Alligator mississippiensis: one gene and its partner. The protein of the gene in region 2 purifies or fractionates together with the protein of the main gene of each other region. This does not show direct contact. Links are inferred from orthologs where the notes say so. Each region holds a gene or a part of one and is shown on either strand. Other genes may lie near its edges.

Region 1 (7,174 bases), on a different chromosome or scaffold from region 2:
CTTTTGGAAGAGGCTATCATGTAGAGCTGTGCAAATAATGGATTTATTCTTTTGTTGAGGGGATGGGGATCCTGGCCAAAAGACTTCAATTACTTGTTTGGTTTTAGACTAACCCAGAACTTTTTGTTTTAACATTTTGATTATTTTCATTTTGGGTCCAAAATTTAATTCTTAGTTTTACTTTTAAAATACTTTTAATTAAAAAAAAAAAAGTGAATAAAATTTAGGAACTAAGCACTTTAAATTTAGAGACTCAATCACATCTTTTTTTACCCAAAACAATTTGCATATTTGATATTTGAAATCAGCATGAATCCAAGACTGCATTTTTTTTTTTTTTTATCAGAAATGTTTAATAATTTTGCCCTGTTCTTGCTTTTCTCCACCAGGAAACTAGTCTCTTCTTTCTACTACTGTGGCTTTTAATCCTGTCTTTCAAAAAGAGCTGATTTCGGAGCAGACCCATTCTCTTAGTTTCTTAGGATGGGATACTAATGCAGTCACAGATTACACAGAACAGCACATTGGCTAGGGGCAGACATTACACATAAACCAACTTAAGTGATCAGAAACTGATTTAAACCTGTAACAGAACAGACTTTCAGTGCACATAAACCAGTTTGAAAATGGCTGAAACTGGTTTGAGATGAACCTGGTTGAATGTAGTATCAGACTTAACTGATTTGGCTCAAACCGCTTTATGCAATGTCTGTCCCAGACTCCTTGCTGTTTTAAGTTTAAATCAGATTCCCCCAGCATCCTTGCATGCTCTTTGGCTGGGCAGGGCACTCTGCTCCACAGTGGGGCTGGCCCCTCCCCTCTGCTCCCTGTCTGGAGCTCTGGCAGAAACTTGCAGGCACAGCCGGGTCTGCTGGCTCCCCCAGGCCCTCTTCTCCCTCCACCCCCCCCCCCAACAGGAATCCCTTCCTCCTCTTTCCCGCAGCACAGACCATAGCCAGCATGTGTTATGCTAACTAATGCTGAGACGTGTCTGTGTAAGGCAGATAGGACAGTGTCTGCTTAGGGATTTTTGGAGTTAATCAACAGGTCAGCTGGTAAGGTTCCTGCATTCCTTCCTTTGGAAAAAGCTGTATAAGAAAAACCTGAACTAATGAGCGAGGCTTTGTTTTCTGGTGGGGTGCTAAACGCTGATAACAGCTGATAAATGCTCTGTTATCAAAAGCGTCCTGTCCTGGCCCCCTCAGCTCAGCTCACTGGAAGGGAAGGGAGAGATGCTTTAGCACACCCAGCCTTCTAGGCTGAGCTACTGCAGGCATGTGCCTGCATTTTTTTTTCAGTCCAGAGGGGATGACTGTATAGTTACAAACTGATTTAGCCTAGCCAGGTTAGACTAACCTGCAAAGATTGAATCAATTTAGGCTCAGGCTTTTTGAATGTCTGACCCTAGCCATTAGAGCCCATAGGTTCTAAAGTTAGTCCATAGGAAACATATTTCAATTATGTTCTCGTATCGTTTTTTGTTGTACCAGCAGGTGCCTGTAGAATAGACATATGCCCAGGGTGGGTACAGTTGACTGAGTTCTTCCTAAATAAAACTCACATGGAAGATTTGAAGACTTTCTATGCAGTAACAAATACTGGATAAAAAAGCTAAAAAGACTAGAAAGTCCTCCACATTTAGGTTCCTGTCTTGATGGGCAAGACATGCATGCTTGTCTAAAAAGGATTGTGTCCATGAAAAGCAGGGATGAATGAATAATTGCATTAAGGTCACTAGTTTTATGTGAAATGGAACCAAGTAAGGGATAAAGACTATATAGAGAACGCCTATAGAACATTACACTACCTGGTCTTCAAACTGAGTAGGATTAAACAGGAGGCTTAAGGTCAAGGGAGCAAAGGGGGTCCAAAGCATCAACTCCTTTGACCAGGAGATTTTACTTGCTGGATCAGAGGCTTAATTACATGTTCCATATGATCCACTGTTCCATCCTAGGCAACTTTGTACTGCTGAAACCATAGCTAATTTGGCATTCCAATCAGAGGTGACCAAAAAATTGGGGGCAGTAACTCACAAAAATATAGAACATGTATTATCTATTACAACAACACATCAGAATGACAAGCAATGGTTTTGGTGATGTGGGTAGGTATAACTACTGCTCCATGGCAGATTTATCCTCCTACTGCCCCCTTCTTTTGGACTAAATTTTGTACTGGACACTCCTGGGTTTACACCTTAAATGCTATCTTTCCTGATGATGGTTTCTCAGGGCCTTCAGGCATTTCCAGTCATGGCTCAGGGTCCTGTTGTGCTAGGTGTTATGTAGGTACATACATAAGAGATGATCACTGGTCCAAAGTATTTACCAGTGAAATGGGCAAATGGCAGTACGTCTGTATGTTTATAAGTAAGCATTGTTAGCAATCCTGCCTGCGATTTTGACTGTCTTTGGTATTAAAGATTTAAATCCTCTTGGCTAGGGACAGACATTCAAAAAAGCCTGAGCCTGATTCAGTCTTTTCAGATTAGTCTAACCTGGCTAGGCTAAACTGGTTTGTAACTGCGCAGACATCCGAGAAATGCAGGCACATGCCTGCAGTGGCTCAGGCTACAAGCTGGGGATGCTAGAGCAGCCCTCTTGTCCCTTCCACAGCATTGACCTGGGGGGTGGGGGTGGGGAGGGCATGGTCAGACCCTGGGAGGATGCTTTGATTAGCCCAGCAAGGAATTGATTACAATGGTTATCACCCCTTAACTCAGTGTTTATCACCCCATTAAGAAAACAACAGAGGGACATTATCAGCTGCCTGTTGATTCAGCAGGGACTGTAGCCAGCATGTGGTCCTCTAGCTAACGCATAGACAGCTCCCTGCAAGGCAGAGTGGAGGAGGGGAATTCCTTCTTAGCAGGGACTGGTGAGGAGGAGTGGGGAGCAGCCTGCAGTCTGTGCTGGAGCTCCAGCCAAGGGAGCAGAGGGTAAGGGCCAGCCCTGCTGTGGAGCAGAGAGCCCTGCCCAGCTCAGAGAGCATGCTGGGTGTCTGGTTTATATTAAACCAGCAAGGGGTCTAGGACAGATGTTGCATAAACCGGTTTGAGCCAAATAAGTTAAGTCTGATACTACATTCAACCCAGGTTTATCTCAAACCGGTTTTAGCCATTTTCAAACTGGTTTATGTGCACTGAAAATCTGTTCTGTTACAGGTTTAAACCAGTTTCTGATCACTTAAACCAGGTGAATGTGTAATGTCTGTCCCTAGCTCTTGAGTGGAGGAAGAGGGGAAAGAGACTATAATAGTTGAGCAATTATTGCTGTTGGCTGTCTTGTATTCAAGTGCGTGGACTGATTTCTGTTACAGCCATTTTAAAACCTCTTTGTCATGCCTTTGGTTAGTTTGTTCTACTCCTTAGATGATCAGATGCGTCCGATTTGTAGAGCTGTGCGATAACCATCCATTTAGAAGAAGTCCTTTTAGACGTTCAGAAGGGAGTCTAAAGGATTCCATCTGTCTCCATTGCTTGTTTGAATCCATAATCTGAAGCTCTAGCCCAAACTAGACATAGAGGTAGACTTTACTTGTCAGATAAATTGTTCTTATAATTTTACACCTTCTGTCTCGCATTAAAATACTTTGAGTCCTGGTATCTGTTCTTAAATCCCTGCCCCCTAGTTAGTAATTTTGCTCAGATGTTGTTCATAAATCTTTACTGCTTTAGGGTGTGTTCCTTTTTGGCCTAATAGTTGGGCAAATGATGCAGCATTTGTTTAGCATAATGATATGATTAACAGTGTCAGTCCTCTGGTACCCTGAATGCTGTTTTTTGCTTTGTTAGGTAGTGTTTGCAATTTATTCTGATTGATTAGAGATATGAAGGAATTAATCGTCTTTTGGAGAAAATATCTTTCTATATAGATTATTCTTGCTGCAATCTTCTCACTGGAATATAATTTGTGATTTGGCTGGAGCTTTGAAGTGGTAATATTACAAATCTCCCAATCACCATGGTCCAATCTGTTCTAGCATTCATGTGCCTAATTTCTGCTTGTAATCTGATTACTGGCTTGAGCTGCTTCAGTTTGCAGCCTATTGCTATGCATTAACTGTACTCCCCGGGACGCACTAGCCTGACAGCTCCAGTCCTGTGCAATGAAAAATCTCTACACAATATTGCTTAGACAGGCCTAGGGCTGTGGCTGGTTGAGAATTAGCTGCTATTGTAGTTTCTCTTTGCTGAATCCTTTGTTTGTGCAACCATGTTCAGAAATCCTTGGATCTCCAGCTATTTGGGAAATGTTAAATACTCTGAGGAGCAAGGTAAGAGTTCAAAGTGGATAGACAAAGAATGCCGTTTGATTTTTATTCTTTTGTTATAATATATAATAAAAAATAATATGCATGCTGTTTTAGTCTTCCTTAGAAACATTTGTTACTTTAGTATTCACTATTCAGTTAGCCATTTAGTCTGTTTTATTGCTTCCTCAAAGGACACTTTTCAAAAATCTGATTAGATGGATTTTCTAATTAGCTTATCTTGCAGCTGATGTAAGGTCTGTAAATATACTCACAAAGGAAGGTAGTGCCTAGATTTTCCTTATTAATGTTTTAACTGGTATGTATCTAAGTGTGTCTATGTGCTTACCTCATAGTTTGTACCCTGAAATGGGAATACACAGAATGGTTAAACTTATGAACAAGTTCATAATTTACTACTTCAGTATTTTGAACGGTAAATAGGAATACTGAAACTAGTTCTGCTGTGGTTATAAGTGTGTTTATGGTTTGTCTGTGAATGAAGGAACAAAATATTATTACATTGCCATGGTTCCCATTTTGTGTGTCAGGTGATATGTGTTTTTTTGATTAATCATTGAAATAAAGCCATGTTAAAATATTTTTTCTTTACACCCAATTATTCCTCCCAGGAACCATAATTTCTTTATCTACCCTTTCATGTTTGAATCTAACTTCTTAATTTTAAGGTGCACTAGATGCTGATAATGCAGTAAGTTGCCTTTTTATCATGCTTTGAGAAGCACGAGAATGAATTGAGGCAGGGGTATTAACAACTGCATGATGATCAACTTTTTGTGGGAGCAGGTGAGTATGCCTTATGAAAGGCAGCGCAGTTTGAAATGTTCCGGGAGCTCTCAGTGTGAGACAGCAGGACATGTCCCATTGTCAGTGAAGAGTCAGAATAGTACACATAGCCCTCCCCTGTGAACCACTTCCTCTCCTTCTCTAAATCTTAAATTGTGGAAGCTTTTCTCCCCCTTTTTGGCTAATGTGGGTAAGAATATTACTGTGGCCCATTTGTGGGTTCAGCTGTTTCAGTGCCAAAAACTGTAATATAGGTTATTCCTTTAGAATGGTTATAAATCTTACACATGTCTGGTTTTGATTAACCAAACTCATACTGTGTTCAGTTTTTTGTGGAGAATTATTACTTGCTATTCTCACAGTAATATAAATCTGGCTTTTTAGAAAATGTTTGACAGGGAGTATTTTTTTTAAACTATTAGGGTAATGATTTGTAAACCCTTCATAAAGCTTTGTCTTAGTATGTTGTTGTGGTCTTGTAAAATGCCTCTGCTGCGTGATTAGTGAGGTCTATTTTCCATTTAGTTGAAAAGAAACAATGTCAACAAAAAACAGGAAAAGGGCATATTTTAAACTAGAAGAAAGCTGCTTCCTTGTTAGCAAATTTGCTTAAAACACTGAGTTGTTTCACCACTTTAAAGAACAAAGTAATTGGTTAGGCATTTTTTTGCCTCCTTAATTCTTCTAAAGTTGTCTCCTATAAAACTTCTTGCCATATGGAAGGAGAGAATGAGAGCAGTACGGGCAGAAGAGACCTTTTGAAATATGGCCCTTGATAACCAGTCACATTAAACCTAATTATCTTTCTTCCAATACCTTTGCTTATATCAAAGATTCATCTAACTTGTAAAGTAACTGGTCAGGCACATCTTACACCCCAGCACAGTTCAATGACAGTAAAATTTGGCTATATCACATCTACATTAATTGTAAACTGTGCCCTTGAATTGTTTTAATGCTTGTTCATGTAGCAATCAGGTCCTACCTACACTGGGAAATGAAATCTGCTCATCCCTGTCAAGAAACAACCATGTTGTAATTTGGTCTCTTAACCACTGACATCACTTTGCAGGAAGGACCCAGACTCTTCCCTGCCCCCTCCTCCAACCAGGAGTAACTCATGGTATCCTCATTTTTTTGTTTATTTTAAATAACTGCTAATGGCTCATTTCTAGCACAATTTGCTTAGCCACATTTCCTCAATAGTCTGTTAACCATATCAGACTATTGACTACATCTACAGCATGGGTCTCTATAAAGGCTTTGTGTGTTATAAAATGGGTAGACATATCTTTTTAACACTCTTGCATGTAACAGTTTGTTCCCAGACAAACACGAACCAAGGGTGGAATGTATCCATCTCCAGAAATAAATTGAACCTGGTCACTTATTGAGAAATTGTGGTCATTTCCAAATGCTTGGGGGAGCTTGGAGTAATATTTTGGGACATAAGAATCGAATATGTTGTTGCATTAAATAAGTATTTGAGCACATCTTGGTATTTACTGTATACATGTAGATTTTATTAAAATTTGCCTTTGACCAAATCTTGTCACTTTTAGCACTTCTCATGTTTTGTCAAGATTAACTAATTCAGTGCTGTTAGGAATCAACCTGCAGGAAACTGAGTCAAAGATTTTAAATGATTTCCCAAGTTTCACAGAGAATGATATAACCAAAATCAGGATTAGAAGTAAAGAGTTCCTGGCTTCAGCTCTTCTGCGTGTAAAAAAAAAAAAAAAAAAAAAAAAAAAAAAAAATCTGTATATCTCACTTTCACAAACTACATTAAAAAACTTAATGGAACATCCAGTGCATCTACTTTTTTTTCTCAAGACTTTAATTTACCATTGTTTGGTATTTATGTGCATTTATTCAACTGTTGAAGTTAGATGTCATCTTTCCCCCAAAGTCCAGCACTGGAAACAATGATACAACTGTTTAAATCTTGCATGTTCACTGGATGTTTTCTTGTATTTTTTTGTCCTTAGATTTTGACAAAGAAAATTCAGTCAGATTTAGACCCTCAAGACTACTCCATAGAAGGAGGGCACAAAGGTAAAAGACTTTAAAATTCCTATCTGGCACTGTGGCCAATGCCTTGATTATTAAG
Region 2 (7,702 bases):
AGACTAATTAGCATGCTTACATGGGCAACTGGTGCCACCTTAGTCAGGGGAGGTACATGCCCCCACAGCAACAGTCGGGGCCGATCACGAGGTGGCCGATCAATCACTGCGGCCTCTTCTGGGAGTGTCACTCCCCAGCTGGCACTTGCAGGGTGGGCACTGGAACTCCTGCCTGCCCCCTGCCCTTCATCTAAGTGGTGAGTGTGGCTGGTCAGGGGGTGCACCAGCGCTCTCAGGGGGTGCACATGCACCCCTGTGCATCCCCTACACATCGCCACTGCATGCTCCCATATAGGCTGGAGTAAACTAATTTACTCTGCAGCAGGATAGTACTAGAAAAAAACTCCACAGCAGTGGAAAGACTCTACACTTGCTGGCTGGGGCATGAGGGTGCTTCAGCATGGGAGCTGCCTGCCAGCTAGCTCTGCACTGAAGCAGCTTTGTGCCCCAGCCAGCCCTTCCACAGTAGGCTGAGCACAGGGGAGCAGCAGTCCTGGGCTGGCAGGCTAATCCCTTGGATCCCCTGCCAGACAGGGCTGTTCCAACCCAGTTCAACATGCTGTGGTCCTGGGTGAATGTTCAAATGGCAATAAACTCCATAGTTTATTGCTTTGCATTACTTACATGTGTAGATATGCCCTGTGATTCTGAATTGTCTATGATTCTATAAACCACATGGGAGTCTAATATAAAACCTGTCAATTCCCATCCTTGTAGCAGAAGGAGTACGCATCAACTTTAGCATTCCAATCATATGATCCACCTCACCACATTTTAGTAAAAATATGAAAACCATTTCATATTTCTTTTCACATTTGAACATCTCCAACTCCTCTTATAACCTAAGTTCCTAGTATTAATACATAGATAAAATACATGTTCCTTACCTATTCATGTGCGCTCAGATTTCCTGTGTGATACTTTGGGGCTTATTTACACATTTGAATGGTTTCATTCCTGTTTAGTGTTAGTTTAAAGCTCTGCCAGCTAGTCTACTTAGTTTATCACTCAAGTTATTGGTAGCCCCATTACTGAGGTGGAAGACATCAGAATAATGCAATCCCCCCTTTTTCCATACTAAGCACCTCAATATTCCTCTCTCACTGTAATGTTCCACAAGACAAAATCTTCCTCATGCTACTTACCTGACCACTTATTCACTGCCAGCATCCTTGCTGCTGAGGTGAAACTGTACCTCTATGGGTGGGTCTACATGAGACACCATGTTGTTGTAATGATGAGCTACTGTGCAGTAGCTTGTTGCTACAGCACAGTAGTGTCAGAAATGACCCGTGCAGTGTCAGGATTGCGCAGTAACATTGGTTACTACGCAGTCATTTAGTACTTGCTCAAGCAAGTACTAAACTGTGCAGAAACAACTGTGCAATCCAGCGCACATGTAGACGCATGCTGTATGAAGGAAAGCCTCCAAACTCCCTCCCACAAACTCCCAAGGAAATTCTACTCCTTGAAACTTGAAGAAGCCATTTTCAAGGTGGTGTGGCAGTAAGGTGCATGGTTGATAGCCCAGAGGTTGCACGTTCTAGATTATAGCAGAAGTGTTCACAGAGCAGCCATGTCACATCCCAATGAGTCTGTGAGTTCTGGTAAATACCTTGTCACAGGGACATGGGAAGGCAAGGAGGACCCCAGAAACTCCATTCTCTCCCATAAGCAGCAGTATGTGCTTGCATGCCTTAGACATATTGCTGAGTGGGTGTCTGAAAATCTGGGCATTTTTAACTGCGTGTCTGCCCACATGAATTTTCAGTGAGCATGTTTAAATGACTAATTTTACTACTGAAATGAAGAAGGTAAGAATTGCACAGAATTGCACATGGAAACATCAAAATCAAAATGTTTAATTCTGAAAATGCTGACTGGTCTGTAGCACTCAGCCTCACACTACAGCCCTTTTGCCCCCTACAAACCAGACTGATGCCGCTTGCAATATATTCTGACACTCGAGTAGGAGCTATAGATTATTGCTGACCCAACAACAGGAGTAAGTGAAGCCCAATATGTTTCAGTTATTTGTGTATAACCCAGAGCTACTAACATTTGCTTCATGGCATTCCTGCAATTACCAAAACCTGAGTTCAATCTGTCTGAAAGTATGAGGAGCTCATTCTTGCTGATAACAGTGCAGGGAAAAGTTCAATTGGGATTTCTGGGGGAAAAAAAGTAAAGAGGAGATGCTTATCCCAGCCTGGGAAAGGCTTTGTTAGTTGTGTGTCCACCCATTGCTAAAGGGCATTCTGATTCCATCCTTGGTGTGCCATGCACTTCTCATTTGTGCAAGACAGGCTAACGATTGTTTAGTAGGAAAGCCAACCACTCTCCTTCTAGCCTCTCTCTCTATGTATGCCTCTCTTTGTGTTGATAGATGTATGATAATTATATATTAATAGAGTAAATTTAACCCTGGTGTGAGGTCTGATAGATTGCTGCAAATGTGGCCAAAATGTACAGTAATTCAGACTGATCCAAAGAGTGTGAATCATAGAATACTAATCAAAGGAAAGTTGGGCTAGAAGAGACCTCCACAGGTCACATCTAGTCCAATCCCCTGCCTGAGACCATTCCTATGCAAACCATTGAATACAAATCCATACTCTAATCTCTTAGTAAAACTTCTGTCAACCCTGACACACAAGTGCTTACGTTTCAATATCTATTTAATATTGGATCAATTTTCCATCTTCAGATGAGCTTAAATTGTATCCTCCCTCACGTGTGCGGACTTACTCAGAATAGTGTTATTCATGCAATGGTGCTTCTAAAGGTGAGCATGCAGCAGCCTGGACTCTGAAGTAGAATTTGAATGAGACACTTGTGTGCCAGGAGAGGCAGCGAAGAAAATACTATTTACAGTGACACGGTCACATGTTAAGGACAAAAAATATTCAGGAACATGAACATCTTGTGCCTCCTGTGGCTGGGAGGGACATGGCGACCGCCCGCAGGTGGCAGCCGCGGTGGCAGGGATGCAACAGCAGTGAGCAGGGACCGTCCACAGGCAGCCGTGGTGATGTTGGTGGTGAGGGTGGGCCGAGCAGGGACCATCTACAGGAGGCCATGGTGGTGTCGGTGGCAAAGGGGGAATGGTGAGAGCCAGTGGCAATCAGCAACTGTCCGCAAATGCCACTGGCAGTGGAGGGGGGGGGACAGGGGTAGCAAGTGGTGGCCACTCGCAGGCACCGCCTGCAGCATCGGTGGTGGCCTCTCAGTGGGGTGCACATGCACCTGCATGCACCCCTTACACATCATCAATGTTCAGGAACACAGGAGTGGAAAGGGACTCATGGGCCATCAAGCCCAGTCCCTGACAATGATTGCATGCCCTTGCAATCCCTCAAAAAACCACTTGAACCTCATGTTTCAGGGGTGTACTTGGTAGCCGTGTTGGTCTGAGACAAAAAGACATACAAAAAACTAGAACTCTTGGTTCCAAGAATTCTTGAACCAATTCTTGGAACCAAGAGCTCTAGTTTTGTGTATGTCTTTGAGGTCTCATGCACATTTGTGCACTGCTAAATGACAGCAGTGTCCTAGGGAGTGTTGAGGTGCTGTTGTTGCTGTGATGATGAAGGAAAACAGCCAGAGGCTGCAAGTCTTGGGTAGCAGGATCATACAAAGCGAGGGTTGGAAAGGGCCTCAGGTCATCTAGTGCTAGTCTAACCCCTGCTCAAAGCAGGACCATCCCCAACCAGATCCTCCCAGCCAAGGCTTTGTCTAGCTGGGTCTGAACAACCTCCAAGGATGGACAGTTCGGAACCTCTCTGGGCAACCTGTTTCAGTGCTTTACTACCGCCCCGAGAGTTTTTTCCTAATATCTAACCTAAACTCCCCTTCCTGCAACTTGAGCCCGTTGCTCTGTGTTCTGCTACCTGCCACCACTGACAACAGTCTAGCTCCATCCTCTTTATAACCCCGCTTCAGGTAGTTGAAAGCTGTTATTACATCCCTCCTCAGCCACCTTCTCTCCAGATGAAATAAGCCCAGCTCCCTCAGCCTCTCCTCACAAGTCATGTGTCCCAGCCCCCTCGCCATTTTCCTTGCCCTCCACGGGTCTCTCTCCAATGTGTCTGGTATCTCAGGCTGGGCTGTCCCATCCACACTTGTTAAAACAGGACCTCTGAGGCTCTGATGGCAGTTTTCAAGCCCGGGGGCCTGTCCTTGCTCGGTCTCCCTCAGACACAACCAGGCACCCCCTGGCGCAAGCAGGTGCCCCTGGCAGCGTCCCCAGCTCCGTGTGAATCTACTCCGGGAGGTTTCGTCACAGGATGTAACGACATTAATGACTGATCTACTGTCCTGTACTCAGCAAGGCATTACTATTACATTGAAAAAACCCACTGCACTCCTGCATAAATTAGATTCAACATTTAATATTTATTTCAATTTGAAAGAATGCCCGATCTATCCCTGGCCCCTCAAGCAGTCGCCTGGAGACGTATCTATTTCCGGCACGCTCCAGGTCACCCCGTCCGCGGCCGCGAAAGGCCAACACCCCGCGGCGCCCGCGCAGGCGCAACCGGTCACAGGCCACCCCCGCCGGGGGGAGGGGCGCTGAGGCCGCCCGGCTCCATCCCGCCCCGCCCCCCAAGCCCCGCGGTGCGCATGCGCCTTCCCGCCCCGCAGTGCGCATGCGCCTTCCCGCGCCCTCCATTGGCCGGCGACGGCCCCGCCCCGCGGCGCAGGGAGCGCGCGGCTCCGCCCTGCCGCGCAGAGGGAGGCGCCCGGCGGTCGCTGCCGGACGGGAAGATGGCGGACCTGGACGAGCAGCTGTCGGACGAGGAGAAGGTGAGGCGGCCCCGCCCGGCCCCCCCCGCTGCAACCCCAGCCCGCGACGGCGCCTGGCAGTTGGCGGGGCCGGACCGGGGCCTGCGGGCGCGGGGCGGCGAGCGGCGGCCCCGGCCCGGGGACCTCTCCGCGCCGCTCCTTGTACGGTCCGAGCGCCGAAAATAGGAGCCGCCGCGGGGGAGGGGGCCTTGGGCGCTCAGCCTCGCCCTTCCGGGTCTCTGCCGCCCCGCCCCGCCCCCGGAGTCGCCAGGGGGCCCTCCCCCGGTGCTGGGTGAAGGAGCGGCCCCGGGCAGGTGAAGGGGCGCGGCCCGGGGCCGTGTGGGCAGGGCGAAGGGAAGCAACACGCTAGGAAGGGAGCTCGGTGCCCGGCTCTGGGTGCCGCCGCCCTTGCCCACAGGGCTGCTGTGGCGCGAGAGTTGCCCCGGAGATGCCCCTGGGAGGAGGGGCGGCTGCAGAGCCCGGCCGTGCCGCCGTTTCCTCCCTCTGCTCACCGCTAATGCTCCGGGACCAGGGTGTGGTGGTGGTGGTGCTGGTGTGTGTGCAGCGCGGGGATGCACTTCACCTAATTCTTCTCCTCTGGGTTTCTCCCTTTTTTTGTTTTGGATGGAAAGGTCAGTTTAGGGGGCTGCTGAACCTGTGGAGATGATTCAGATGTGAGAGAGAATAAATGAAGCTTCAGATATCTTTGACATGAGGGTGGGGGTTAACATGCCTTCATGTTCACTGTAGCCAGGGAGTCCCTCCATGTTTGCAGCACTGAGTTGCAGATCAGGGAGCTGAACGAAAAATGCTTCCAGTACTTGGTTGTTGGTTGAGAGCTCATAGCAGCAGTCTCCCAATGCCTGAAGAAGGGTGTTTGTGCCCCAAAAGCTTGCAAATAATTTTTTTTCCAACTATTAAGTTGGTCTAACAAAAAATATCACCCCTACCCTAAGACTCTTGCCTCTGTTGGAGCACCCACAGTGACCTGGGAAGAGCCTGTAAAGTGTTAGTTTGCCCTGGTAGAAGGTATTTAGTTAGTATGTCAAAGGGTAAACTAAATAAAAAATAAGCCTCAGCATTTACGCTGCTAAAAAGTATTTGCCACTATACTTATTAATACACATTGCTGCTGCTTTGCACTGACTCCAACCTATCACTTCTGCCCCCTTTTCCAGCTCATGCCACATAATGGTGTTTCTCTGAGTTTCTCTTTCCCTTGTCACCAATCTGATGAAGTTCTGGGCTTGCTTTTTTCCAAAAACATTCTGTTTTTTTCTTTTCCCAAACAAACTCTTGATTCTCCAGGCTTGTAAAATCAACATCTACACCTCAGTGCTGCAAGTGAACACTGGGCACCATTGTAGGTCTGGGGGCACCGTGGAGCTTAATGACCTGCAGGAAGCCTTCCATTTCCCAGTACTTTTTTTTTTTTCCATGGGGCATGTGTACTTGTCCCAGTTACAGTTCAAGTTGCTTTGTGGTGCTTTTTCCACACACACCTTCCCATTTGAAGTGCTAAAAGCTTAGAGCCTCCCTACTTCCTATCTTCCCCCCTTCTCCCCCCACCTGTGCTAAAAAGAAGTAGGAGCATTAGAATTGTTTTCTTTTCCCCTTCTCTTCCATCAAGAACGGAGCCATTGATTCTTTTATCCAGTTCAATCCTGCAAAAAAATTTGGATTTTCTTGTGTAGCTGGATTTTACCCAACACTGGCAGCATATATATTGGGAAATAAGACATTTGTAAGTCCTTTATACAAGACAGGCTGATGTGACTGAAGTTCTGTAACTCAGATGTTCTCAGCCTTTGCAGTGGAGATGCATCTACCATCCAGGGCATATCAAAGTGCAAAGGTGTTTGAGGTATAATCAAATATTTTCTGATTGAACTGCACTTATGCTTTCAAAAGCAAGTGTCCAAGGTGTGCTATCTTTGATGAGGAAATGTGTGCCACTTGTGAAGCTTTCATCTACGGCTATATTATCATGTTTGGATGACTGTGTTTAGGGAGGATTTAACTAAATCCACATTTGCCCCTTACACCAGGATATATGAGGGTTTTTTCCCCTTGATAAAGTTGGGAGTATATTTTTAAATCGGTAACTTGTTCAAGTAGAACTTTTCTACTGTTTGACGCACTCCCCTTAATTATCATTGTATAAATCATTCAGAAGCAGGTTCTCTTATGTGTGGAGCTCTTTAACTAAATTTCTTCTAGAACGTCTTATGTCTCTGTTGCACTTCTTAATGATGTCAGAATTTGCATTCTTTTTTCAAGCTAAAATATGGCCCAGCACAGCTTCAAACTAGTTTAGCATGCTGAGTAAATCATTGATAGAGCTGTGATTTTTGTAACAATAATTCTTAATTTACCAGCAGTTATACACATGAAGAAAAATACCCATATTTGCAGAAAAGCTACTGTCTGCTACACTTTTAAAAATAAACAATTACTCTAAGTGGTTTCCCCACTGCAGAGTAATACTTCTGAGAGTTATAATTTGGAGAACTAATGCCATCATTTTTTCCCATAGGCCAGTATCCCTTTCTGAACTACGTCTTCCCTCATGTTATGCATTATCCCCCCTAATGAAGTGGGAAGATGTAGCACAAGAGTTTTTCTTTCTCTGTTTTCCATAGTAATGGCCTTGACCACATCAGTGCCTTTAATCATAGAGATAACACAGTTCAAAAACACACCCTTTTTGCCCTCTTAAGACGGGGCCATGGGGTGGTATAGAAAGGAGAAATGTACTAACATTGGCCAGAAATAGATGGTACCAGTGGCACTCTCCTACACTGATGCAGGGCCTGTAGTAGTCGTGCTGGTGATTCTGGTGGTCTAATGGAAGAGGCAGTGTTGGCAGAACTATAGACATAATCCTAATGAGAGAACTGAAATTCAGGGAAGGAAG

Evidence for each region.
Region 1: the proteins of CAPZA2 (region 2) and SVIL purify together in Homo sapiens (affinity purification with mass spectrometry; 3 studies listed by BioGRID and IntAct, counting the BioPlex papers as one, with this or other methods). This does not show direct contact. The link is inferred for Alligator mississippiensis from reciprocal best matches to the Homo sapiens genes CAPZA2 and SVIL.

What each region holds. Positions count from the first base shown.
Region 1 is NC_081828.1:191,846,433-191,853,606, forward strand, and holds the start of SVIL (supervillin), read left to right. Parts: upstream 1-4,171; 5' UTR 4,172-4,217; coding exon 4,218-4,278; intron 4,279-7,052; coding exon 7,053-7,119; intron 7,120-7,174.
Region 2 is NC_081827.1:49,190,355-49,198,056, reverse strand, and holds the start of CAPZA2 (F-actin-capping protein subunit alpha-2), read left to right. Parts: upstream 1-4,697; 5' UTR 4,698-4,767; coding exon 4,768-4,806; intron 4,807-7,702. UniProt on the Homo sapiens protein: F-actin-capping proteins bind in a Ca(2+)-independent manner to the fast growing ends of actin filaments (barbed end) thereby blocking the exchange of subunits at these ends.